Linked DNA regions of Drosophila melanogaster. The main gene of each other region encodes a partner of the protein of the gene in region 2 in a complex. Each region holds a gene or a part of one and is shown on either strand. Other genes may lie near its edges.

Region 1 (3,494 bases), on a different chromosome or scaffold from region 2:
TTGGCTTTGGGTTCAAATGGATGATGAGGATGTCCATAGGCCCTAGGAGAAAAATAGAAAGATTCGAGATATTTCAAGTTAAAACCTAGGAAATGAAAAGAGCAACACCTACGCCTTCATGGTCATAAAACGCCCATTGCAGTCCAATTCGTTAATGGCCTGTATGTCATCGACGGCCAACTCAAAGTCCCAGATTCGCTTAAAGTTGTCCAACATGTGCTGTTTGCTTACTGATCTTGGGATGACAATTATACCCGATTGTGTCTGAAAGCGTAGGAGCACCTGTGCCGCAGTCCTTTCGTATTTCTCAGCTATAGCCAAGATGGTCGGATGCTGGAGCAGTGGATAAGCGCCGGGCTTCTCGTAGGGCGTATGTCCCGATCCCAGGCAGCTGTAGGCGGTCACAGCAATGGCATTGTCATAGCACAGCGTAATCAATGGCTTCTGACTAAGGTACGGGTGGCACTCGATTTGAAGAACTACCGGTTTAAGCTTGGCCACACTGAGAAGTCTATTCATCTGCTGCTCATTGAAGTTAGACACACCGATGGCCTGGCACAGACCCTCGTCCACCAGATTCTCCATTGCACGCCACGTGTCCACATAGTCGATGTCCTCGAATGCGGCCTTATTGGTGTCCGGACACGTGGGATATAGGTTGTCACTGCCCGACTTGTAGGCCATGGGCCAGTGCATCAGGTAGAGGTTTAGGTACTTGACTCCCAAGTTCCTTATGCTTGTCTCACATGCCGGGCGCACCAAATCCGGCTTGTGGTGTGTGTTCCAAAGTTTGCTCGTGATGAAGAGTTCATCTCTGCAGTGCAATATGTATTTATGGCTTAGATAAACGATTGATTAGGCCTGAAAGCAGCACTTACCGTGTGACCACTCCCTCGTCCATTTTCTCCCGGAGAGCAGCTCCCACTTGCGCCTCATTGCCATAGATATGAGCGCAGTCAAAATGGCGATAGCCTATATCAATAGCATCCTTTACTGCTTGGGTCACCACTTCCGGCGGGCTCTAAAATGGCGAATAAAACGTAAAAAGCTGAGGTGCATCAAAAGCTTTTGCTTGACCCCGAAGAGCTTTGACATTGACCGTGAAATATGCAGTGGAAATGCACATTTCAGCTGGCTATTATTTAATAACAATATATATCTATGTAAAAGTACTTACCCGCCAAGTTCCGAGACCCAACATAGGCATATTTTTACCATTGCTCAAGAGAAAATTCGGTGTCGACATGTTTGAATCCTTTTGCTCCTTGTGAAATATGTTGTTGCACTGGCTTCGTTTTTGGAAAGCTTTAATTTGTAATTTACTAAGTGAACTATACTCAAAGGCCTATTAAACTGGCTAGAAACAGCATGTCTTGTGACAGCTCTGCTATCACAACTATATGTACGAAAATTGTTTAAATTTAGAATCTTTTGGGCAAGCAAAAGACCTTCGCGGAATATAATCGATTCGCTGCAGAGGGAAATTTTAAAATTTAAAACAAAAAACTCTTTTTCTGCGTTCAGAGTTTTATTTTATAAACCGAGTATAATGTAAATAAATACCTTTTTTTAATAAAATAAAATAAAATGTTAAAAAAAAAACTTTTGAAAAAATATTCTTTGTATTATCGCGTTATAAAAAACAAAGACAATCGATAGAAGTTTCCGATGAAAACATCGCATTCGCAGATAGTGCCTGACCTACCATCTCTAATTTTGCCGCCTGCGAAAAACACAAACAATGTTCGGCACCGTAAATAACTATTTATCCGGCGTTTTGCACGCCGCCCAGGATTTAGATGGCGAGTCCTTGGCCACGTATCTCTCCTTACGAGACGTGCACGTTCAGAACCACAATTTGTACATTGCCCAGCCGGAAAAGTTGGTGGATCGATTCCTGAAACCGCCACTGGACGAAGTTGTGTCCGCCCACCTGAAGGTGCTGTATCACCTGGCACAGGAGCCTCCTGGTTACATGGAAGCCTACACCCAACAGTCGGCAGCCTGCGGAGCCGTTGTGAGGCTTTTGCAGCAGCTGAAGGACGAGAATTGGTGCCTGCCACTAATGTACCGCGTGTGCCTGGATCTAAGGTACTTGGCGCAGGCCTGCGAGAAGCATTGTCAAGGATTCACACCTGGCCACGTATTGGAGAAGGCTGCCGACTGCATAATGGCCTGTTTCCGCGTTTGTGCCGCTGATGGACGAGCTTCAGAGGAGGACACCAAGCGTCTGGGCATGATGAACCTCGTAAACCAGCTATTCAAGATTTATTTTCGAATCAACAAGTTGCATCTGTGCAAGCCCCTTATCCGTGCCATCGATAATTGCATCTTCAAGGATTCTTTTCCGCTGCCGGAGCAAATTACCTACAAGTATTTTGTAGGTAGACGGGCTATGTTCGACTCCAACTACCAGGCAGCCGTACAGTATCTGTCGTATGCCTTTAGCAACTGCCCGGATCGGTTTGCCAGCAACAAGAGGCTCATCCTCATCTATTTGGTGCCAGTGAAGATGCTGCTGGGATATCTGCCCAGCAAATCCTTACTGCAGCGCTACGATCTCCTGCTGTTTCTCGATCTGGCTATGGCCATGAAGGCTGGCAATGTGAATCGCTTTGATGAGATTGTCAGGGACCAGGAGCTGGTGCTGATCAGGAGTGGTATCTATCTGCTGGTGGAGAAGCTCAAGTTCCTCGTGTATCGCAACCTGTTCAAGAAGGTGTTCGTCATCCGGAAATCGCATCAGTTGGACATGGGTGACTTCCTCTCCGCCTTGCATTTCGTTGGCTTAACCGATGTTTCTCTGGACGAGACGCACTGCATCGTGGCCAATCTCATTTACGATGGAAAGATTAAGGGGTACATCTCACATGCTCACAACAAACTGGTCGTGTCGAAGCAAAATCCATTCCCCTCAGTGTCCCTTTAGTGCATTTTGTAATTATTGTGAATTTTTAAGAGTAAAAGAATCCAATTTAATCAGTGTATTAGTTTACTGGATGGGGCATGTGAATGGAGGGCACCAACGATGAGTATAAGACCTGAAGACTTTGAATTTAAAGTACCTTCAATTCTATTTGGTTATAATTTTGTTTGGTTTTTCGAAACCTATATGTTTCAAATCAACTTATGAACTAATAATATAATTTTTGGTTATAAATATGTTTATTTTTCAACGGTTTTAAACTAATACCACTTTTTAAACTTAATCGAACTTTGGAATTGATATATATCGATTTTTGTGCTCGAACCGATGTATCGACAGCGGAATCGGTTTCGGTCACATCTCTAGGTCCACCGACTATCACTCATCTCTGAACTTTTTGGAACGCAGCTGCATGAATTGTCGTAGTTGAGCGAATTTAAACAAATTAACACAATACTTGTGGTATTACCTGGTAAATGATTAGAGCCTCATTCGCGCAAAGTGTACATAAGACAAGTGGCGAAGATTAGATCTAGTTAGCTAGTAACCATTTCTCAGCCGGCGACGT
Region 2 (7,644 bases):
GGTGATGACGGTCAGCAGCAACTACCACTTGGAGGTGAATCCCTCCGACGCTGGCATGTACGACCGCACGGTGGTGATCGATCTCATCAAGCAGGTGGCCCAGACGCATCAAATTGAGATTAGTGGCCAACGGGAATTCAAGGTGATTGTAATTTCGGAGGGCGACGAACTCACCAAGGATGCCCAGCACGCCCTGCGCCGTACGATGGAGAAATATGTGGCCACGTGCCGGATAATCATATCGGTGAACTCCACATCTCGGATCATTCCGGCCATACGGTCGCGTTGCCTGGGCATACGGGTGGCGGCTCCCAACGAAACGGAGATCGTGTCCATCTTGCAGAACACTTGCAAGCGGGAGGGACTCGCACTGCCCGTGGAGCTGGCCAAACGGGTTGTGGACAAGTCGGAGCGCAATCTCAGGCGAGCACTTTTGATGCTGGAGGCCGCCAAGGTGGCCAAGGCGCCGTTTACCGCCAATCAGGAGATTCCCGACCTGGACTGGCAGGTGTTCCTGCGTGAGACAGCATCTCAGATTATCAGTGAGCAAACGCCTGCCAAACTGGAGAAGATCCGCGAACGCCTGTACGAGCTACTCACGCAAGGCGTTCCACCTAATCTCATATTCCGCGGCCTGGTCGAACAGCTGGTTAACAATTGTGATATGTCCATCAAGGCAAAGACGCTCGAGTTCGCCACCGAGTACGAGCACCGGATGCAGTCCGGCGCCAAGCACATTTTTCATCTTGAAGCGTTCGTCGCTCAGTTTATGAACATCTATAAAAAGTTCCTTTCTGAGCTGGACATGACGGATGATTTTTAAACGATTTACACGCTTTAGCATTTAATTCAAAAAACTTATTAAATAAACTGATTTAAACGAACTATTAACGTTCTTCCTGAAGATCCGTTCGCATCTGCAGAACGGCCATGCTCATCTTATCATCGGTGGTGCGCTTTATGGTCTCAATATATCTTTGAACTTCTTCTTCGAGTTTAAAGTAAGCCTAAAATAGGAATAGATTTGGAATATGATTGGAATGTATTTTGAGTAGAACGAAATTTATATGTATGACTTACCATTTCATAATCAAGATCATCCTTGCCATTAATCTTTAAACCGTGCAGCAGCAAATCGATCGTGCTGATGGGGAAGCAGAGCTGTGGGTTTGCTATGTTCACCGCGTGTTTGAATTCGAAATACTCGCTACCTGCTCCCAGCATGCCGGCGATTATTTCACATCCCAGATCTGCGGCTTCCAGCAGACGATTGTGTTTCACAAGTAAGTGGAGCAGTTCCCGGGAGTGGGATAACTTGTAGGAGTTTATCAGCCACTGGGGCAAGAAGGCGTTTAACCCGAGAAGCCTTTGAACCACGCTCTTTCTTATCAAGGTGGAGTCTTTTGCCTCGTTATCCACAACCAGTTTTTGAAGTAAAGTCCAGGCCATATCGGCAGCATTACTTCGATGAGGTAGATCTGTTATAAGACATATAGTAAGCCTCTTTTTTTCATACACGTTAAAAAATCCCTACCTGCCATGTCGTTGTTTTGCAGCCAGTTCCAGGCGTCCGACGACTTGTCCTCAGTGGCAGCAACACAAGCGGATGTCAGACTCTCGAATATGGGGAGCACAGAGAACGAGTGTCCCCGCGAAAGTTTCAATGCCGCGGTGTACAGGCCGGAACTAGCCAGCAGGTATGATAGCTCCTCGGGTGTGGCCCGCTCGTAGGCAGCTGTATCTTTGCGGTAGAAGGAAAGCTCACGTAAAGCTTCTGCGTGCACCAGTTCCCTTCGGATATCAGCCAGCTCTAGAACAACCACCTCCTGGCCTCTCTTGTCCTCGTCACATTTGGGCTCACCATCGTCGTTATCCTGATCTATGGTAATCACCTGCTCATCACCAAGAACAGGCTTGGCAATCCATCTGTAGCGGCTGTCAACTAGGTGCAAACAGTTTAGGCAAATTAACAGCGAGGAGCAACGTTTCTCTAGCGCGTTTGGTGCATCGCTGTCTACTTGAAACCGCATGGCCTGCTCATACATAACCGTAGAAGCTGTTCGGAAACAAATTATTAATGCAAGAAGAAATGGAAGAAAATAAAGTAATTTTTATGCAAACCTTTTCTCATGTTACCCTTGTTCGTATGGAATGCATACAAAAAGTTGTAGACTTCGTTCTGATCGATGCTCATTGATCGTGCCCGGGATTCAACAATGCTCTCGAACTCGTCTTGCAACCCGATGTAGGAGAACTGCATAAGCAGTGGCAGACATTTATTCTGGAACAGCGTTATGACCAACTGGCGAAGGCAATCCTTACGCCTTGAAATATCTGCATTGTTGACTAAGGCGGTGTACGCCTCCACGTAGTGTCCCAACTGCAGATGATTATTGAACACTATTGACTGGAACATGGGCAACTGAGGATCATCTGGCTGCAGCACCCTAATGGCCATGTCAGCCAGTTGAATAATGTAGTCCAATGCGGAATGCTGTTCAAAGAGCTGGATAACCTTAAGATAGTAGTGAACAATTGCCAGTTTTGTGTCTTCGGGGGAAATTGTATCGCCACGGCTGACGCTATTCTGTAATTTGCCGTATAGAGGGGTATTTTTCAGTACATGCTCAAAGAGGAAGTCATCCTCCACAATGCCAGACTCCGCCTCGTGAAAGAGATGCACGGCCTTGTGGGCCTCACCGCAATCCAATAGAGATACGGCTAGCATAAAGCGTCCTGCGGAAAAAAAGGATTAATTTCAAAGCTGGGAAAACTAGCAAATAATGCATACTGGCATGTTTTTGTACGGAACACCAGTTTGACAAAATGCGCACGTAATCCTGAACAATGATGTGATGACAGGTCCCAAATAACCATTCCGGAAATACGTAAATCGGAGATCCCGGCCAACTAAGAGATGTTTGAAACTTAAAACATGATCAATTTTTCTATATATTATACGCACAGCATCTTATTGATGTATCCAACAAGTTGGAGCAAAGACTGGCGTAGATTCAATTGCTCCGAGTCCAGCGACAAACTGTCATGCTTCAGCAGCATAGTCAAGGCGCTGAACAGACCTTTCGATTCCAGGAACAGTCGGAGCAGAGTGGTCTGATCGTTCCCATTATGTTTCAGATGGCTGGAGTATGGTCGATTATAGCCGCTGAAAAGTTGGGCGCGGCTCAATCGTTGAATAGATGCCTCGCTAAAATTAAAATAGAAGTTAGAACTGTGCAATACAATCAATTATATATCCTTACAATCCAGCTGGGGTACTCGATGAAATGGGTGTCTCGGCAATCCAAACCAGTGTATAATATGAGTTCAAATAATTTAAATTTGTTAAAACATTTTCGCTTTCCATTTCGTTCTGACCATAAGCCATGTACTGCAATACCAAAAGGTTTCGGCAAACAGAAAACCTAGGGACACATGATTTAATAAATGATAAACCAAGTTCAAAGTTTTTTAAACTATTACGAAAGCTCACCGTATCATTGCCATTTGCTTCACTGTTTCGGACAAAATAGAAAGTCCATATTCGCTACCCATTAGAGCCCCAGACGACTGCAAGAAGCGCGTAGAAAGGGAGTAATCTATAAAGTAGAAATGAAATATATGAATCATTTTCAAACATTATATATATTTATAAGTAATTTACCATGCGGCGGTTCATCTGGATCAATCATACACAGCACATCGAGCAGCATTTCCAAAGCGGGTTCAAGATTTGGTATATTCTGCAGCTTCTGTTGGATTTGCCTCACACAGTTTGATGGCAATATTGGACCATTATCATCGATCATACTGATTCTAGCCACCAGCTTAGATATTACTTCAACCGGTGACTCCCGCTGGTAAAGCTGTTTATCTAGCTCGATTTTAATGTCCTCCGAAATTAGTTTATCAAGCAGTGTCACCACATTCATGAGCTCCACAAAACCCTTGGCCATTTCGGGATCGTTGCGAAATAGTGGCGCCACATATGTCGCCACTTCATCGTTATGCTCGCCGATGAGCAACAGGTGCTCGAGCACTTCGCAGGGGCGCAGCAATGCGAATGATTGCCTTCTAACCAAACATACTGCATCCATTCCACCAAGAACGGCGAGTCCTGTCGGCTCGGAAAGCTTAATGTGATACTGTTCGCAGCAGGAGTAAAAGCGATCCCACAGCCGAGTGGATATCTCCAAGTACTCCTCATCGGTGACCACAAAGTCTTTCAGTTCGTTTTGGATTTCATCTTCCACGGCCTGGCATACCTGCTCCTTGAGCACTGACATGGAAAGTTGCTTTACATCGAATTGCAGGTTAACGCGTCTGAACATCTACGATACAAAAAATTCAAATTACTAAACTATTCCAATAATTCATAATAAAGAATGTTTTGGTTATACTCACATATAAAGCCTTGGCAATTACATTTCGGTCAAATCGACCAGGATGAAATATATAGCTGCAGTAAGTTTCGCGTGGATCCACTCCCTGCTCCATGGTGAGACAATACCGATCCGGTGGCGGTTCTAGAGCAGCCGAAACCCATTTGATTGCGTTGTTGGAGGCAAAATATGCTGCCGAGACATGGAAATCGCCTTCAGCGTTGCTCCAAAGGGCCCAGATGTGCGAGGATGTGGCATCGAAGTCGACCAAATCCGTTTGCGGCGCCGGCACCATGTTCTGCACCAAATTGATAACGCTGGCATCGTCGGCATCGGGCATTATGCTAACGCATATAAACTCAGCTCGGGAATTGTGCGAGAGAAATAGACAGAAGTTTTGATCGCTTATTTTTCGGAGCTGGCTGTTTTGTGCTGTTAAAAAAAAGAATATAATCCCATTATATCTAGATCATAAATCTAAATCGTAATAATATTTTATACTCACGTCCTTGAGCTGCTGAGTCCTGTCCCAGTTCGGTGGAGCAGTTAATGCTGGCTACAGTCTGCAAGTTATCCACTGACCATAGACGCAGCTCATTATTGCGATACAGAACCAGAATGAAAATTTCCCCCCCGATTTCACTGAAAGCCATGGACGTGGCTGCCTCCAACGTTTCAGAGCGGCCGCTACAATGATTAATGAAACATTAGGGATTTGCCATTTATCGAGGTTTATCCACTTACGTGAGGGCACCCTTGAGATTCGACAGAAACCATGGCATTAGCTTCGGCTCCTTGATTTCGTGGGTGATAGTATGGCCGGTGGAGCATTTCATAACGTGAAGCAGTAGTTTGCTCTGATACGCCACCGCAAAGTAGGCTGACTGGGAGTCTTGAGTGAGGTACGATACAGCCGCGTTGGGCATAGTTCCAAAGCCATCCGTGACATAGTAAGTGCTGGGATCATTGATCTTGTCATTGACGTCGTAGAAAATGGACTGGGATAGCAGATCCTCTGGAGAAGCTGCGCCACCTTCCTGCCCAGCGACCTTCAAGGGAAACACATAGCGATGCACACTGCTGACCGTGACCACCAGCAGGGTGACGGATGTACCTTGCTCCGTGAGTGATACATTCAGCACAGCGGAGTCGGTGAATCGCAGACGCAGGTGATTCCTCTGCAGGGAGATGTCCAAACTAACCTCTGATAGTTCCAGGACATCCTGGTATGTCCGCCTGCAAATCAGTGGCCATGTGAAACTAATTTAACGATTCTGATTTGCACTTACCAATATATGAAACGGTTTCTGGTCTGAACATTTTTCGTATTCTTGTAGCAATAGCCGCCGGAGGTTTCGAAGGTTTTTAAATCCTGCAAAGTGCTCTGGGTTCCTACATTTTGCGGAGGAGCATTTGGTTACTCAGAATTTCTCTGGCAATCTTGCACGAAACTCACCCGTGTTAATTTTCACCTCGATCCACTCCGCCGGACTGAGGTTCCGCGGTATGACCTCGCGGTAGCTCATGTTGGCTTGCAGTTTGGATGTGGGCATCTTGCTAGCACAACAAATTAATATAAAAACCTCAACGAAAACGGAAAATTATTGGCGGCACCGGCGTAAACACGCTCAGTAGTAGTGTTGGAAAACGCTTACGCCAGCGGTGCACACCAGGCAAAATAGTCGACATAGCTTTTTATACTCACATACAAAAGTTAATTACAGAAGTTAGTTAAAAATTGTACATTTTCCTAAATGTAATTTCATGACAATAAAGTTTATTATAGCAAAGCAGGAATGATATAAGATGCCTTTAAATCTTGTGATATTAAGAAAGTTGTCGCTAGCATTTTAACAATTGCCACATATTGGTCACACTGCATTGCACGTGTGTTTCCATTTGTTGATGCGGCTTTATTATTTAGTTTATTTTTTAAAATAAAAACTGTCTCTGGCCTAAAAATGAGTGAACAGCAGGATGAGACTGTAGTCTGCCTGCCCGGGGAGCGACTCTGCAGAACCGAGGACAGCATAGTCCTGGGCATAGGCACCTACGAGCAGAATGGCTACATTTACGCCTCCAAGTCTGGAATTGTCAACATCGAAGATTCGGGTGATAAAGTAAGTAATCCTGGCATTTCGTTGACTCTGGGAACCAATTAATCTCCATTTCAGTGCCAGGTGGTTAGTGTGCATAAGCCCGGATTTCATCTAACCATCCCAGCCACCGGAGACGTGGTCACAGCCAGAGTTCTCGTCACAACTCCAAAATTCGCCAAGTGCGCCATTTTCTGCGTACGAAATGTGCTGCTGGAAAGCAGCTACCGCGGACTTCTGCGCAAGGAGGATGTCCGGGAGACCGAAAAAGATCGCGTCGATATCTACAAGTCCTTCCGGCCGGGCGATGTCATCCTGGCGAGGGTCATTAACCAACTGGAGCAGTCCTTCCTCCTGACCACCGCCGAAAATGAACTCGGCGTGGTCATCGCCTATGCCAGTGATTACCGGAAGACCCGGGTGCCCATGGTGCCGGTCGGCTGGAGCGAGATGCAGTGCCCCCAGACCACGATCAAGGAGCCACGGAAAGTGGCTAAAGTTCTGCCTGAGAGTTCAATAAATGCTGTGAAATAAGGTCAATCGCATGTTAATCAGAAGCTTAAATTCATTTGTGGAACTAAAAATGTTTTAGTAAGTGATTATTAGCCAAATAATTATATGTCTTGGCAACCAGAGGACGCTGAATATGGATACAGGTTTATGTTAGCATTTTATTTCCATAGCAACGTTGATAAGTAGCTATTTGACAGTTTACATTATTTCAAATCATTAAATAAATCTATAATTAAGTTGTAAAAGTTCAAAACAAGCTGGTTTCCATAGTTTAGCTTTTATGATTGATACGTATCTTATATTTGTTATTTATTCATGATTGGTTTGTTATAATGATTCAACAAGAGATTAGAATTTAATATTGGATCGTCATGCAATTGCTGTTTTTAAAAGTATCTCTATAGATTCGAAAGTCATGGGAATAGATTAAAGAAATTGTGCGGTAATTTGTTCTAGCAACTTAACAAAACATATTTTATGTTTAAAATAATTCATAAACACAAGGTAATCTAAATATATGCAGGCACATGCACTTTATAGGTTGGCAACATAAAAACTTTTAGGGTAAACGACAGGTACTTATTCCAAGTAATCCGAATTTCAATAACATGCAATTGCACGTGTTCCCAAAAAAAAAAATATATAATCATAAA
Region 3 (7,942 bases), on a different chromosome or scaffold from region 2:
TGGCCGCTGGTAGAAGAGCGGCGGCTCCTGCTGATAGATTGGCCTCATGGCAACGGGGATGCATTGCCCGCAGCACGGATCGCAGATAGTTCCTGGCCGCTAGAACGCCGAGCAGAGACTGCCGTAGCTCGGCGTCTAACGCTCAGGCGAGAGGTCTATTAATAAACCCACGATCGGGTCTAGAGAGAACCAGCAACAGAGGAGCACTCAATGTTTACACGTAGGAATGCGCCGCAGTTCCGAATGTTGCGACAGAGGCGTTCAAGAAAATAGCACCTCAGTATCAAGATATTTGAATCTTTAATTTGGAAAGGATACTTTAGCGAGTAATGGGAGAAATCGCCTCGATTTAATTCCTTAGATGTAAGAACTATATATCTTGACTATGATGTTAGTTATTGATTTGAACCGATTACTAATTTCATTATCAAAAGTAAAGTCTAGTTCGAAGTTAAGATGTATTGACATAATGGAAAATGCTAACGGAGGTATTGTGTGCTTGAACAAATGAGGTGCTAGCTACTTGGCCGCGACTGTGCCACACTATGGGCAAGCGTCGAGTTGCGATCTATAAATATTGACAACAATAGCGGAGTCACAGAGAGTCGCCGGGTCGCCGACAGGCTATATCCACATGTTCTGCACCCAAATCGGGCGAGGCGAGTGCGTCGGCCTCGGGAACACAGAGACGCAGAAGCTTGGAAAGTTGCAACTCCAAATTAGGAGTTCAATCGAGGGTTACACACACAGGCCGCGCACACTCGCGCACAAGTGAACGGTACTTTGCGACAGCTGATTAATAAACAAACAATCCGGCAATCAGCGAATCGAGGAACCACGGAAATGTATAAAACTTAGAAATCAGAAGCGTGACGCCCACACAATTAGGAAACGACGACGGGCTTCGTAGGTGCTTTTCTCGCTTTCGAAGGCCGAGCTTGAAAAGTTAGTTTTGTTTTTTTTTGGGGGTCAGCAGCTGTAGCGCTCTCACTCGCACTCACACTCACTTGCGGTGGCTATGAAGTCGGGATTTGCTATAGTAGTAATCGGTTATTACTCACATTATAAGCCGCGAAAACAGGCTGCTGATCATCTTGAGCGTCGCCTGGCTGCTCTAGGGGAAAACTGTAGGGTATTTAATTAGAGTCCACTCCGTTATCCTGGCCTCCTTTCCAACCCCAATTTTCACCTGGAATTTCCTTGACTTTTCCGTAAATTATGTGATTTGGGGTACTTTATGGGCAATATCGAAATAAAATCCACAGATTTCTGTTTAAGTCGATTTAAATTTCATTTACTTTTTGGTAACTGCGATTGAATTCGAAGGATTTCGAGATTAATTGGCTACGCAATTTTTAGCACCGTGTTGCGTCGCCTGTGGATAATTGCGAATCGCCAGCTCGACCTCTACTACATGGCTTTGTGCAATCACAGTCGAAACAGCCGATGCTTTGTGCCCTGCTTTGCAAATGCATTCGCATTGCCCGCGAACAAATCGCTTTTGTTTAATTCTCAGCAAACAAAAAGAAACGCTTGTAGGACAGAGACAGACGAACAACAACAAGGCTGCTGCGCTAGCGATGTGCTGAAATTTTCGTTCTCGCACATACTGTCCAAAACAAAATACCGTCTGAAAAAATACCAACAAAGTGCAATTGCCATATGGTCAACCGCTAAGACAAGATTGGTGAATACTTAATTCAAGCTAAGTTGGTTTCTTTTAGTTAACAAGTTCATCAGTTAGTTATAGGAGAAAACTATTTTTATATAAGATTTTATCCCATTTTCTTTTTAAAGGAACATCTATGAAATTTAAATCAGATTGTATTGTATATGTTGTTGGATTTTTTGGTGGTGAGTTTTTGTGGTGAGTTTCCTGAAAGTGACCGTACTGCAAGTGGCGCGCTTTTTGCTTGCCAACGTTTCCAACGATCTCAACTTGCAGCCACACCATCGACTCGATTGGGAAATCGACAAGCCGCAAAAAATTTGGCGAAATAGGAGCGAAAACAGACAAAAATGGCGCAGAATGCACCAGACTGCGAGGACACGCAGGTAAGCACAATTGCATAGCACTGAGATGTCAAACATTCCATTGGTTTTGGTCGCAGGACTTTCAATTCAAACTGCACCACAAGATTGTTGCGTTCAAAAAATGCGGTGAGCCCCGCAGCAATGTGAACCTGCTGGCGGTCTCCAGTAGCCGGGGATTGCTCTTTGCCGGGAGTCCAACGCAGCCGGAACTCAAAGGTAATGTAGCTTGAGTTAGCTAGGCTAAATATATAAATTTATCCTGGCACTCCTTGCAGTGATTATTGTAAAGGATTTGGTCAATGCGAAGAGCACAGCCCAACAGCCGCAGGCGCGTCTGGTGCCACTGCCCAGTATTCCGAATTACATTGCCTGCAGCTCCGATGGCAACCTGCTGGCCGTGAATCACACCCAGAACGGCACCAGCCTGCTCAGCATATATGCGGTGCTATCGTTCATGACCCCTGATGTACGTCCTGTTTATAATATTCGCCTCGCCGCCGAGGATCACGTGCACGGCGTCCAGCTCCTCTGGAATCCCGTGCTGCCCAACAGCCTGGCCGTTGTTTTGAGCAACGGAGCGCTCGCGATGTATGCCCTGAAGGAGGGGGGAAACTTTGAAATGCACTCGCTGGACAAAAATCAACAAGTTAAGTGCGGCTGCTGGTCGCCCAAGGGCAAACAGATCGTTCTTGGTTTTCCCGGCGGCACGGTGAAGCAGTTCAAGCCGGATCTGACTCTGGCCAAGACGCTTTTGTGTCCTCCGAATATACATGATGCCCCCTTTGACACCATTGCTATACAGTGGCTGTCGACTTTCCAGTTTGCAGTGATCTTTCTCCAGCATGGCGAGGACTGTAGCCCCTCGCTTTACATTCTAAATGCTCCCAAGGCTGGTGCGCCCAGCTACATAAACTACTATGACATCTGCTATAGCATGAACGGCCCGAGGAATCATCAGTTCGTATTTAGCCATGTGCCCCAGTGGAATCTGCTGCTCGTAGTCTCGGCCAATGGCGTAGAGGTGGGCATCATGCGGTCAACCGAGGCCGGCGATACACCCGCTTGGCAGCAGCTTACATTGCTGGATGAGGCACGCATTGAAATGCCCCTAAGTGAGGACAAGGATGAGACCTTCCCGCTGGGCTTTGCCTTCGACACTTCTACAACGCACCAGCTGACGATAAATGAGAAGAAGCTGCAGACTATGCCCATGGTTCATGTTTTGAGTTCGGATGGAGAATTGCTCTCGTTCAACTTTCTTAATGTGCTGCCGACGGCGGTGTCTGTTTGTTCGCCACCTCCTCCAGTGGCCGATACTTCTGGGCAGTTCAAGCCGTTGAATATGCTGCTTGCTAGTGAGGAAGAAGAGCAGCCAGCTTGGGCAGCCAGTCCCTCCAAGGCTCCAGCTGCAACTCCTGCTGCTTCCTCGGACATATCCTTTGCATTTACACCGAATACCGTTACTTCAACCCCAGCTCCCTCGAAGGATAAGCAACCATCATTGTTTTCTGGCTTTGGAGCAGCTGCAGCTAAGGCACCTGCTCCGCAACTATCTTTTGGTACTGCTCCGACTTCTAGTCCGGTTTCGTTTGGTGCTCCAACTACCAATGCAGCCAAGCCAACAACACCGTTTGGTGGGTTTGGCACGCAGGCAACGACTACTGCCATGGGAAGCATGTTTTCGGCTTCAGGAGCAAATGCCTTTGGGGGAATGGCATTGAATAAACCGGCTATTGCCAGTGTGACACCCCGAACAGCGGCACCTGGGTCAACAGTACCCGCAACTCCTGCTTCTGCTCCAGCAAACAAACCACTGTACACGGTTCCTTTAACATTCACACCAGTGGACACAAAACCAGCCACTTCAGCTCCTCCACAAATCGCAGATGAAAGTCTTAAGCCTGATGACACTGAGCCTATTATCAAGGACATGATTGCCCTACAAATCGAAGCCTTTAGCAAGGATATCCAAAAGCAAAAGGAACAGACGAAGGAACTCCTCAAAGGCGTAAGTAGTGTTGGTATTACACTGCTTCATGTATTAAAGTTGTTATTCCGCAGATTGCAGCACCATCTGCTTTGAGGGCATACGCAAAGAGACTGGATGACCTCCAAGAGCTCAATGAACAAGCCAAGGATGTGGAGTTCGAGTTAGATGTACAGGGATTGCGACAGGGTCTTAATGAGGCCTATGCCATCGTAGCAGAGTGCCGCGGGAAACTGGAGATTTATAGAAAACCAGAGTGGGTAAAGGACTCTTTGAATATATAAGCTATTTAAAACCCGTAATTTTCGTTTAGGATTACGCGTTTAATGAACTCAAGCTCCTGTGATCCCTCTGGCCGTCGCATGCTAGCTCGTCTTCAGAGCTACGTGGCTGCCAATGAGGCCCAGCTGCGTCTTGCCCAGCAGCATGTCGATTTGCAGTGGGAACAGTTTCAGGATGTTGTGCGGCGCAATTCGAAGTCTCGCATGCACATGCCTTGCCTAGAGGGAATCTATCAACGACTGACAAGACTACAAAATCTAACTTCTAACCAGCGAATTGTACAGAACAACATCAAGTCCAAACTGAAGGAGCGCGGATTGCTTCAGGCCGCACTGCTCGACCAGGAGAAAAGTCGCACCCGCACCAACGAAGCGTTAGTAGAAGTTATTGTGACCTCTCTCTTTATGCGACTATAACTTTTTTATTTAGAGTGGATACATTGACCGACTCCATTCTCACGATGAGTCTTAGCCAGGTAGTGGACTCTAATGCAGCCAAGCTCACTCGAGAAAGACTACAAAAAATCCGTAATATTGTTCAGCTGCAGAAGATCAATGTTATTTGTCCCCAGCGACCAGATCGAGTGGGGCTCAAGTCGGAGGTTATTTTGGAAACGAAACGTAGGGCGGAGCAAATTAAAAGGGCAGCAGCCAAGCCTGCAACAGCCAACAAATACACCCAAGCAGCAGTCGCTCCGCCTTCACCACCAGATGTTGCACCCACGCCAGCTGTTGCACCCATGCCACAAGCAACTGTTACAGTGGCTCCTCCGCTGCCTAAACCAATGCCATCTATACCGTCCGTTGTGGAAAAGCCTGGAGTGCCCACACATCCGACAACTCCAGTGGCTACGCCATTTTCCTTCAGCCAAAGCATCCCATTTGTGAAGACATCTACTGTGACGCCAACGACAAATACTGTGACTCCTGGCGAAGCAGCCAAGCCGGGTTTATCCATTTTCGGCGGCAGTACTATTTCCAGCTTTAGTTTTGGTGGTGGTGCTGCCAAGTCGGCACTCTCATTCGGAACAGGATCGCCAGCCGTGGCAGCTCCTACACCAAAACCAAACCCGTTGTCAGCGGTCGAAAAACCAACACCCGAGCCGACTAAGCCCAAAGAGCAGAAAGCAGCAGAAAGCAAAGAATTCAAGGCGGTACAACCCGAAACAGAAGAGTCAAAAGTACCCCAAAAACCAAAGGCAGAGACGGAAAACAAATCCTTTGGATTTGGAGGATTTACAGGAACTGGAGGTACTGTCGGAAATACTTCCAGCTCCCCGTTCAGCTTTGGCGGACTGGGTTCATCTCTAGGCTTCGGAGGAACAGCCGCTGCTGTGCCAAAATCTGAACCTTCCAGCACAGCAACCACTAGTGTAGCCACATCAGCTTCAACTGCACCATTTGGCATCTTCTCAGCAGCTTTGGCGAAACCATCCAACTCTGAACCGATCACCACGGTCACTAGCAACACAACCACCATCACCAGCAAGCCTACGAATGTAATTGCTTCGAGCAGCGTAACTGATGCTCCTTCCGTCACCACAACAAATGCAGTGACCAGCAGCACGGATCCTATTGGAGGCCTCTTTAGCTCTGTGACTATCTGCAAGCCCAACACTCCTGCAGGTAAGCTATAGTTTCCTTTATCAATATACCTTACGCATAAATGTATACGCTTATTTGGCATAAACTCTAAACGGCTATATATGTCTTTTACTTTGCAGATACCACCAAACCAGCCAACATTTTTGGAGGAGGTTTATCCGCTGGTAGCTTTTCATTTGGCGGAACGATTGATGCCTCAAAGGGATTATTCGGCAGTACCAAACCAGTGGCAACAGCTCCCACAAGTGTGACGGAGGCGAACAACAAAACTGATCCTATTTCAACCACCCCATCAGCCATTTCGACTACTACTGCTACGACGACTGTGTCTAGTCCAGCAGTAGTTCCTGCGGCAGTTACCGCAGCAGTTCCGGCAACATCGAGCACAACGGTAACATCTAGCACTGCTGTTCCCGGCAGTGCGTTCTCCTTCTCAAACGCATTTAGCACCCTAAGTGCGGGAGGTGCTGCAGCTCCAACTACCAGCGCTTCAGCTCCCTTAGCTGCCAAAAGCCCAACCGCTACATCTACAGGCAATAACTCGTCGAATTCAGTGTTTGGTGGTGGCTTCGCAGTAGCAACATCAACAGCGGCTCCAGTGGCTAGTCCCTTTCAGTCAGCTGCAAAAAGTCCAGTTTCGAGTGCAAACATTTTTGGCAGTATACCTAAGGCGGAGACCAGCGTTTTCGGAGGAGCTACAACTGCTCCTTCAAACACCACGGCTGCGGCAACACCAGATGCACCACCAGCGGGTCTCTTTGCATCGGCCGCGATTAGTAACCCTTCGCCGTTTGGTAGTCCCACGACTAGAGCACCAGCCTCTGGCGGTAACATTTTTGGTCAGGCTGTTAAGCCAAGTGTCTTTGGACAACCAGCACAAGCAGGCGATAGCGGAGGATCTATTTTTGGTGGCGGATCCGCCAGTACACCTTTTGGATCCAGCTCAATTTTTGGAGGAGGTAATACGCAGGGCGCAGTCGGCGCTCCGGCTGCAGGAAGTACTTCAATTTTTGGCCAAAAAGTGTTTGGTCAATCATCAGCGGCTGCACCGGCAGCAGGTGGGAATATATTCTCCAATCCCGTCGGCAGTCCGCAAGCTTCTCCTTTTGGTGGCGGAGGAAACTCTATTTTCGGATCACCAGCAACAGCTCCGCCCGCATCTGGCGGATCGATCTTTGGGGGTGGCAGCAGCTCTGGTGGATTTGGCTCCTTCACGCAGACGACACCAGCTCAGGGGGGCTTCGGTGGTGGATTTGGCCAGGGCGGGGGTGGATCTGTGGCCCAGACAGGTTTTGGCTCACCACAAGCCCCGCAGCAGCAAACTACGACACCAGGTGGGTTTGGAGCCAAGCCCGTTTTCGGTGGATCCCCGGCCTTTGGAGCTAGCCCCACTTTTGGGGGAGGTGCCACCTTTGGCAGTCCGAAGGGTTTCGGTGGATTTGGCGGTGCCAGCCCAGTAGCCTCCCCTCCACCCTTTGGTGCTGCTGCAAAGCCGGCACAGGGAAACATTTTTGAAACGTTGGGGGGACAGGAATCGGGACTCTCTTTCGGAAATCTAGCACAGACTGGAAACTCAAATGCACAGAAACCAGCGTTTGGCGGGTAAGTTCGACCGACATACATACATATGCATACTTATATAAGTATTTCCAAGAATGCATACGACTAACGAAATATTAAATTTTACTATTTCAGATCGAGCTTTATGAATTATCGTTGAGTTCATAATAAATGTGTTGCATAACTCAATAGTTTTGCTTGTTCAGTTTTCATGAAATAAGAATACCAGTTAAAATTAAAAATCTTAAATCTTAAATCTTTATTAAAATTAAAAAAAAAAAAACTGTGTTTTTACTTCACGCGAAATGTGTGTACTGAACTTTATTTAGTATTTATAGTCTAGTATGATAAGGGTTTCTTTTTTTATGAAATACTTGCTATGGTATTATGCTCATGCTAAGGTTATCACCTATTTCATTCGAACATCTCATGAGATGCAGACACGTCTGGCTTGGATTCCCGTCATTTTTTGGTT
Region 4 (5,380 bases), on a different chromosome or scaffold from region 2:
AAATCACTAAAAGATAAAAAAGAACCTCTAATTCACACACACACACACAGAGAGAAACATGCTGATGGTTGCGAAGGGGGGCGATGCGGGGGGCTTAGGAGAACTATGATGAAGGAGCATTTGTTGAGCAATTGGCGCAATGAAATGTGATTAAATTTTTTAGCAGATAAGAACCGAAGTAATATGTTACGTTCCACAAATTTCAGACTGTGCGCACACAGCAATATCATGATTAATTGTTAATTATAAAATATTAAAAAGATATTTCATATGAACAGCTTGGTATGCTCGGATAATTTGGAAAAAGGGCGGCTTTAGAGTATTGCACCAAAAAGGTATGCTGTAATATTTAATTTGGATGCTTTATAATGGTAATCATGGAGTTCTGAAAATCATAACTCAATCAACAATTTCGTTCTGTGCAGATGTGCCCGAATGCATGTGTATGCGATAGTGTGCGTGCGTGTGTGTGTATGTGTGTGTGTATGTGTGTGTGAATGTGCGATAGGGAGAAAAGGAGAAAACCGGTTTTGGCGATGCTTAGGAACCGCAAGGCGAAAGGGGAACGTCGGCGAGAGGGGAGGGGGCGGTGTGTGCTAAACGTATTCTGTTCGTTTTAACCAAATGTGACACACTGCAAAGTGCCACAGTGAGAAGAAGAAGAAGAAGACAACGAAGAACGAACAGGGGTAAGAAGCCGAAAAGAGGGAGGAGGAGGAGAAACAAACGGCAGTTCGCGTTTTCCCAGTCGCTTCTTGTTTTTGCCTTTGTTTGCATTTGCTTCTGCTTTTGCCCCGGCTGCATTTTCACTCTGCACGGAAATTTGCGCAGAGCGAAATGGAAAACTGCAGGGGTATGCAAATGTCGCTGTTCGCTCACCTTTATGATCAATTCTATCTCGGGCACATCGAATTTACTGCTGCCGTTCGTCTCCTGGCTCTGCTGCGATTCAACTTCCGACATTGCGATATTGTTATTATTTTTATCGTTTATTCTCGATATCTCTGATCAGATCGAAGAGTTTTTTTCTTTATCCGCGTGACGAGGTGCGTGCGTGTTCGTTTCCTTTTCGCTTTTGTTGTGCTAATTTCCTTTGCCAATACACACACTCACGTACACAAGCTGTAACACACACAGGCAGCACACTCACACACACACAGAGAGACGGAGGGAAGAAGAAGCTCGCCTCGCAGTGTTTAAAAAAAATATGCCGTTCTGTTCTACGATTTGCGCGCTGCTAAAGTCTATTCACGATTGAATTGGTTAGCCGCTGAATAAACCAATCTGCACTGCGCGAAATACACTAACGCCTGCTGTTCAGTGTTACCAGACGGTCCTGCCTTTCGGCCGGCCTATAAATACCAAGCTAATACCAAATGTTTTTAAAGTTGTACTTACAACTCCCTCTCAATAACAGTTGTTATTGGGACATTTCAATAACAGATTGCGTAATACCAAAAATACCTTATACCTACAAAACTCCCATTTGTTCTCAATTTATTCCCCAATATATCGATATTCCATAAAAATTTTGAAATTTCGCGTTCGGGGAAATCGACTATTTTCTTTGTTTTTATAACAACTTTTAGGTATTGAGAAATAATTTCTTAGTCTGCTATCTATATAAATTTTTCAATTTAATGATTTTAATTATCAAATATTCCTTTTAAATTATATACCATCTGTAGACATTATTATAGTTATTCTAACATATAACAGTTGTACTATTAAATATACCAAAAAGAATACCACCGATTGCAAACATTTTATGGCGCCGAAATAATCCGGACTGCGACCAGGTGGCAGCACTAGCAGCTTGGTGTGCGCTTCGTTGGAAATATCATTTTATTGGCACCGGCTTTTCCATCCCAATATCACGACATGGATCTGATGGAACTGCTGAAGCAGGCCCAGCGCCTGACGAACGAGACCAATACGGACACGGAGGTGCCGGGCGTGGAACGGACCATGTCCCAGGTTCTGCAGGCAACCAAGGAGTTTCACTCGCGTGTCACCCAAATGGGCACCAATGATCTGCAGGCGTGAGTAGTTCGCTATAGGCCAGGCGCCAAAAATTGTCATATTAACCGGTCATTCAAATGCAGCCACATACTGCTCGGCTCTAAGGGCGTGGACCTGCCCAAGCTTACACAGAAGCTGGAGTCGCTCAGCGCCCGCCAAACCTTCGAGCCGATTGATCCGGTGACGGAGACCAATGTGCAGGCCTATCTGAAGAACGAGCGGGAGAACGCCATACTCTCAGTTATCGATGAGACGAATCGCAGTGTGAGTGCGCCAAATGACATGCTTCAGGCAGACACCCAAAATTCTGAACTTTCTATCTCCATTAACCAATCCATTGCAGATATTTAAATCTGTGGAGCGACAGAAGTGGCGTTGCATCTACTCGGAGTGGGGCGAGGAGAAGGAAGCGCTGCTAAACGCTCTGGTCGGACCAAACCAACAGGACTTCCCCGACGTCCAGTTTCAGATAGTGCCCACGGCCATGGCTGATGAGCCCACTCCGTACTCCCAACTGAATGGCCATGAGCAGATGTACGCTGAACAGATCGCCATCCACAACCAGTCGATCATCCTGGGCAGACGCCCTAACTTGCTGTCGACCCTTGCCCACGTGGTCCAAGACTCCTTCAACGATGAGTCCGTAGCCGAGATGTGGAATGTATTGCAGTTTATGACCGCGTTGCCGCCAGTCTCGAGCACCATCGATCCAATCAAGAATCGTCAGACATCACCGCAATTCGTTGAGCAGGCCCGCACGTACTTGGAGCGCAGATATAGGACGTATATGAGAAAGTTTATCGTCGCGAATTTGGCCAAAGCGCGGCGGGGAGGAATCCCCAGCGTGTACCATATGGTCCGCTCCTATGTGGGCGTTACTCTCCAGGGGCAGCGAGCCCTCTACGGGCTGCATGACGTGAACAATGGCCAGCCATTGTGGCCACATGTTTACTATAGCTTGCGGAGTGGCGATATGGACGCGGCTGCGTTGTATCTCAAGGAATCGGGAACCTGCCCCGACCTGCTTACGCTATTGACGTTGCGAAAGAACGGCGATAGGGACAACTTGATGGTAAAGCTTGAGGGTCAGCTAAAGTTGGAGTACAACAGTAGACTGCGCGCCTGTACGGATCCCTACAAAAAGGCGGTGAGTGCTCATCTTTTGCTACAACTTGTTGCGTATATTCGTGCTAATCATATGTTTTTCTCTTTTCCATTAGGTATACGTCGTATTGTTGGCGTGTGATCCGCACTTCACTCACGTAGAACTAATGCGCAGCATCGACGACTTCCTGTGGATGCAACTGTCCATTCTGCGCAGGTCGGACCAAAGCGACAGCAACACGGAGCAGCTAACGTTCAGCGGCCTGCAATCGCTCATTTTAGAAAAGTACGGCGAGAACTACTTCAATGCGCGCGAGAAGGCGGCGCTATACTTCCAGGTGCTGACGCTTACCGGCCAATTTGAGGCCGCCATTGAATTCCTCGCCCGCACCGAGAAAAATCGAACGCACGCTATCCACATGGCCATTGCCCTAAACGAGATATCCATGCTGGGAACACCACGTTCCGTGGAACAATCCCTTCTGAGCTCCGACCCTGACGACCCAAAACCAATGAAACGACTCAATCTTGTGCGTCTGATCGTCATGTACACCAAGTGCTTTGAGAGAACGGACACCACGCAGGCGCTGCATTACTATTACCTGTTGCGCAACTTTAAATCCGAGAACGGACGCGGCAACGTGATGCTCACCTGCGTCTGCGATCTGCTAGTTGAGAAATGCGACGACGAAATGCTAGAGCTGATTTTCGGGACGGAGGATAAGAAAAACGGCTTGCGCTATGGGTATGTTACGTTTTTGGTACTCTTAAAAGATTTCAAAATCCTTTTGGCAAATAGCTAATGGTTTATTCATTCCCCTTTATTTAGCGGCATATATGCGGAATTTCAAATTCATGAATGCGATAAGTACTCTCTGGCCGAAATGGTGGGCGATGAGTTGTCGAAACGCGGCGACTACGAATTGGCCATCGAGCTCTACTTTATTGGTGGCCAGCTGGACAAGGCACTGCGTTTGGTGAACTCGCTACTGGCACAGGTGGTCCACCAACCAACGCAGAATGGAAGCGTGCGTAACCGGCTGGGCGATATTATCAATCGACTAGATGCGGCGCTGGTCGTGCGTAAATCGGACGTAGAGGTTCAAGTTGTTGTCACATATACGGTGCTGACAAAGGTCATGAAGTTCTTTGACCACTATCACGAAGGCGCATTGCGTTCGGCATTAGAAATCCTGACCAACAATCATCTGATACCCGCCAGCTCATTGGAAGTGGACGAGTGTGTGACGAACATAAAGCGGATGGGTCCCGAGGTCATTAAAGTGCTGCCCGATATCCTGCTGGCGTCCATGGACATTGTATACCAGGAGTATGTGAAGCTAATGGACTCGAATGAAACAGCTTCCGGTTTCTTTGATGAAAGCAAGTGCGTCAATAAGGAGCCCGCCGTGAAACATTTGCGAGACAGGGCCAAGGCATTCACCAACATGGCTGCCAGCGTTCCATACCGAATGCCATCGACCACCAACCAGCGGCTCGTCCAGCTGGAGATCCTTATGCACTAACATTAGCCAGATTAATACCTAGTTATCGTTTATATGCATTTCATTCAGTTCGTTTAAAATTTTATTGATGATTATATTTTTTTCTTTCCAATAATTTTATTGGAATTTTTCTGTTAAGCGCAACGCATTTAAAGCATTAAGCATTCGAAAAATTTAAAAGAAAATATTTTGTATGTATGTGTTATAAGAAAACTAAACAAAATTCAAAATGTCACACGTATATGTTAATTACTCACGGTTTAGGCAAACAATTAAAATTTTGCATTTTCGCTACTTAATAACCGAATGTATGGTATGTATCACAACAAGCCACTAACCCACTGGAATATCCACAAAAGACTTTCAGATAAGAAGTATTAAGTATTTTATTGCATAATTTGAGACACCGTTTGCTATTGCATTGAAACCTCAAGAGGTCTCAGGAACACCCCAGGACATACATATGAAGAACACATCAATATACTTGTATCAAAATAGTATTGCCAACAATGGCTGCCAACTGTCGGAGATTTTAGGAATCCATTACATAGTTTCTAACAGATCCGTTTCGAGATCCTAGTACACTGCCATAAAAATGAAGAAAAAAAAAAGCCATTAGCTTGGCCCTCGTTTCGTATAAATGCATTTGTTTTCACTTCTGTCTATTTAAGATAATATTGTTAATTGGAATAAGTTGATTGCGATAGTTTGTTCTGGTTTTGTGCGCCACTCAGTCGAAGGTCGGAAGG

The links.
Region 1: Nup160 (region 2) and PCID2 share a complex: the UniProt entries of both Drosophila melanogaster proteins name them as parts of the nuclear pore complex.
Region 3: Nup160 (region 2) and Nup214 share a complex: the UniProt entries of both Drosophila melanogaster proteins name them as parts of the nuclear pore complex.
Region 4: Nup160 (region 2) and Nup93-1 share a complex: the UniProt entries of both Drosophila melanogaster proteins name them as parts of the nuclear pore complex.

The regions. Positions count from the first base shown.
Region 1 is NT_037436.4:11,624,739-11,628,232, forward strand, and holds PCID2 (PCI domain-containing protein 2), read left to right. Parts: upstream 1-1,702; 5' UTR 1,703-1,741; coding exon 1,742-2,929; 3' UTR 2,930-2,977; downstream 2,978-3,494. Other genes in the region: CG6083 (uncharacterized protein), read right to left, coding at 1-42, 113-814, 879-1,021, 1,178-1,246. UniProt on the Drosophila melanogaster protein: Required for the export of nuclear mRNAs and involved in mRNA trafficking in the cytoplasm.
Region 2 is NT_033779.5:11,122,170-11,129,813, reverse strand, and holds Nup160 (nucleoporin 160kD), read right to left. Parts: upstream 6,038-7,644; 5' UTR 5,936-6,037; coding exon 5,839-5,935; intron 5,775-5,838; coding exon 5,672-5,774; intron 5,619-5,671; coding exon 5,127-5,618; intron 5,070-5,126; coding exon 4,888-5,069; intron 4,815-4,887; coding exon 4,405-4,814; intron 4,332-4,404; coding exon 3,665-4,331; intron 3,600-3,664; coding exon 3,494-3,599; intron 3,426-3,493; coding exon 3,264-3,425; intron 3,209-3,263; coding exon 2,966-3,208; intron 2,911-2,965; coding exon 2,792-2,910; intron 2,737-2,791; coding exon 2,122-2,736; intron 2,057-2,121; coding exon 1,535-2,056; intron 1,479-1,534; coding exon 1,081-1,478; intron 1,008-1,080; coding exon 888-1,007; 3' UTR 824-887; downstream 1-823. Other genes in the region: RfC38 (replication factor C 38kD subunit), read left to right, coding at 1-823; Csl4, read left to right, coding at 6,344-6,502, 6,557-7,012. UniProt on the Drosophila melanogaster protein: Functions as a component of the nuclear pore complex (NPC). Involved in poly(A)+ RNA transport. Required for nuclear import of Mad. May play a role in double strand break DNA repair. Essential for nephrocyte development.
Region 3 is NT_033778.4:22,918,732-22,926,673, reverse strand, and holds Nup214 (nucleoporin 214kD), read left to right. Parts: upstream 1-1,931; 5' UTR 1,932-2,019; coding exon 2,020-2,055; intron 2,056-2,111; coding exon 2,112-2,250; intron 2,251-2,309; coding exon 2,310-4,042; intron 4,043-4,095; coding exon 4,096-4,277; intron 4,278-4,334; coding exon 4,335-4,676; intron 4,677-4,732; coding exon 4,733-5,928; intron 5,929-6,026; coding exon 6,027-7,509; intron 7,510-7,602; coding exon 7,603-7,627; 3' UTR 7,628-7,737; downstream 7,738-7,942. Other genes in the region: ReepA (receptor expression enhancing protein A), read right to left, coding at 1-48; CG30187 (uncharacterized protein), read left to right, coding at 7,902-7,942. UniProt on the Drosophila melanogaster protein: Part of the nuclear pore complex. Serves as a docking site in the receptor-mediated import of substrates across the nuclear pore complex including emb, RanGAP and phosphorylated Mad. Protects mbo/Nup88 from proteasomal degradation at the nuclear pore.
Region 4 is NC_004354.4:13,821,046-13,826,425, forward strand, and holds Nup93-1 (nucleoporin 93kD-1), read left to right. Parts: upstream 1-1,780; 5' UTR 1,781-1,881; coding exon 1,882-2,042; intron 2,043-2,105; coding exon 2,106-2,286; intron 2,287-2,365; coding exon 2,366-3,169; intron 3,170-3,242; coding exon 3,243-3,871; intron 3,872-3,955; coding exon 3,956-4,652; 3' UTR 4,653-4,865; downstream 4,866-5,380. Other genes in the region: Clic (chloride intracellular channel), read right to left, coding at 880-963. UniProt on the Drosophila melanogaster protein: Required for nuclear pore complex assembly, maintenance and function. Required for nuclear import of phosphorylated Mad via importin msk. Has no role in classical nuclear localization signal (cNLS)-dependent nuclear import via importin-beta.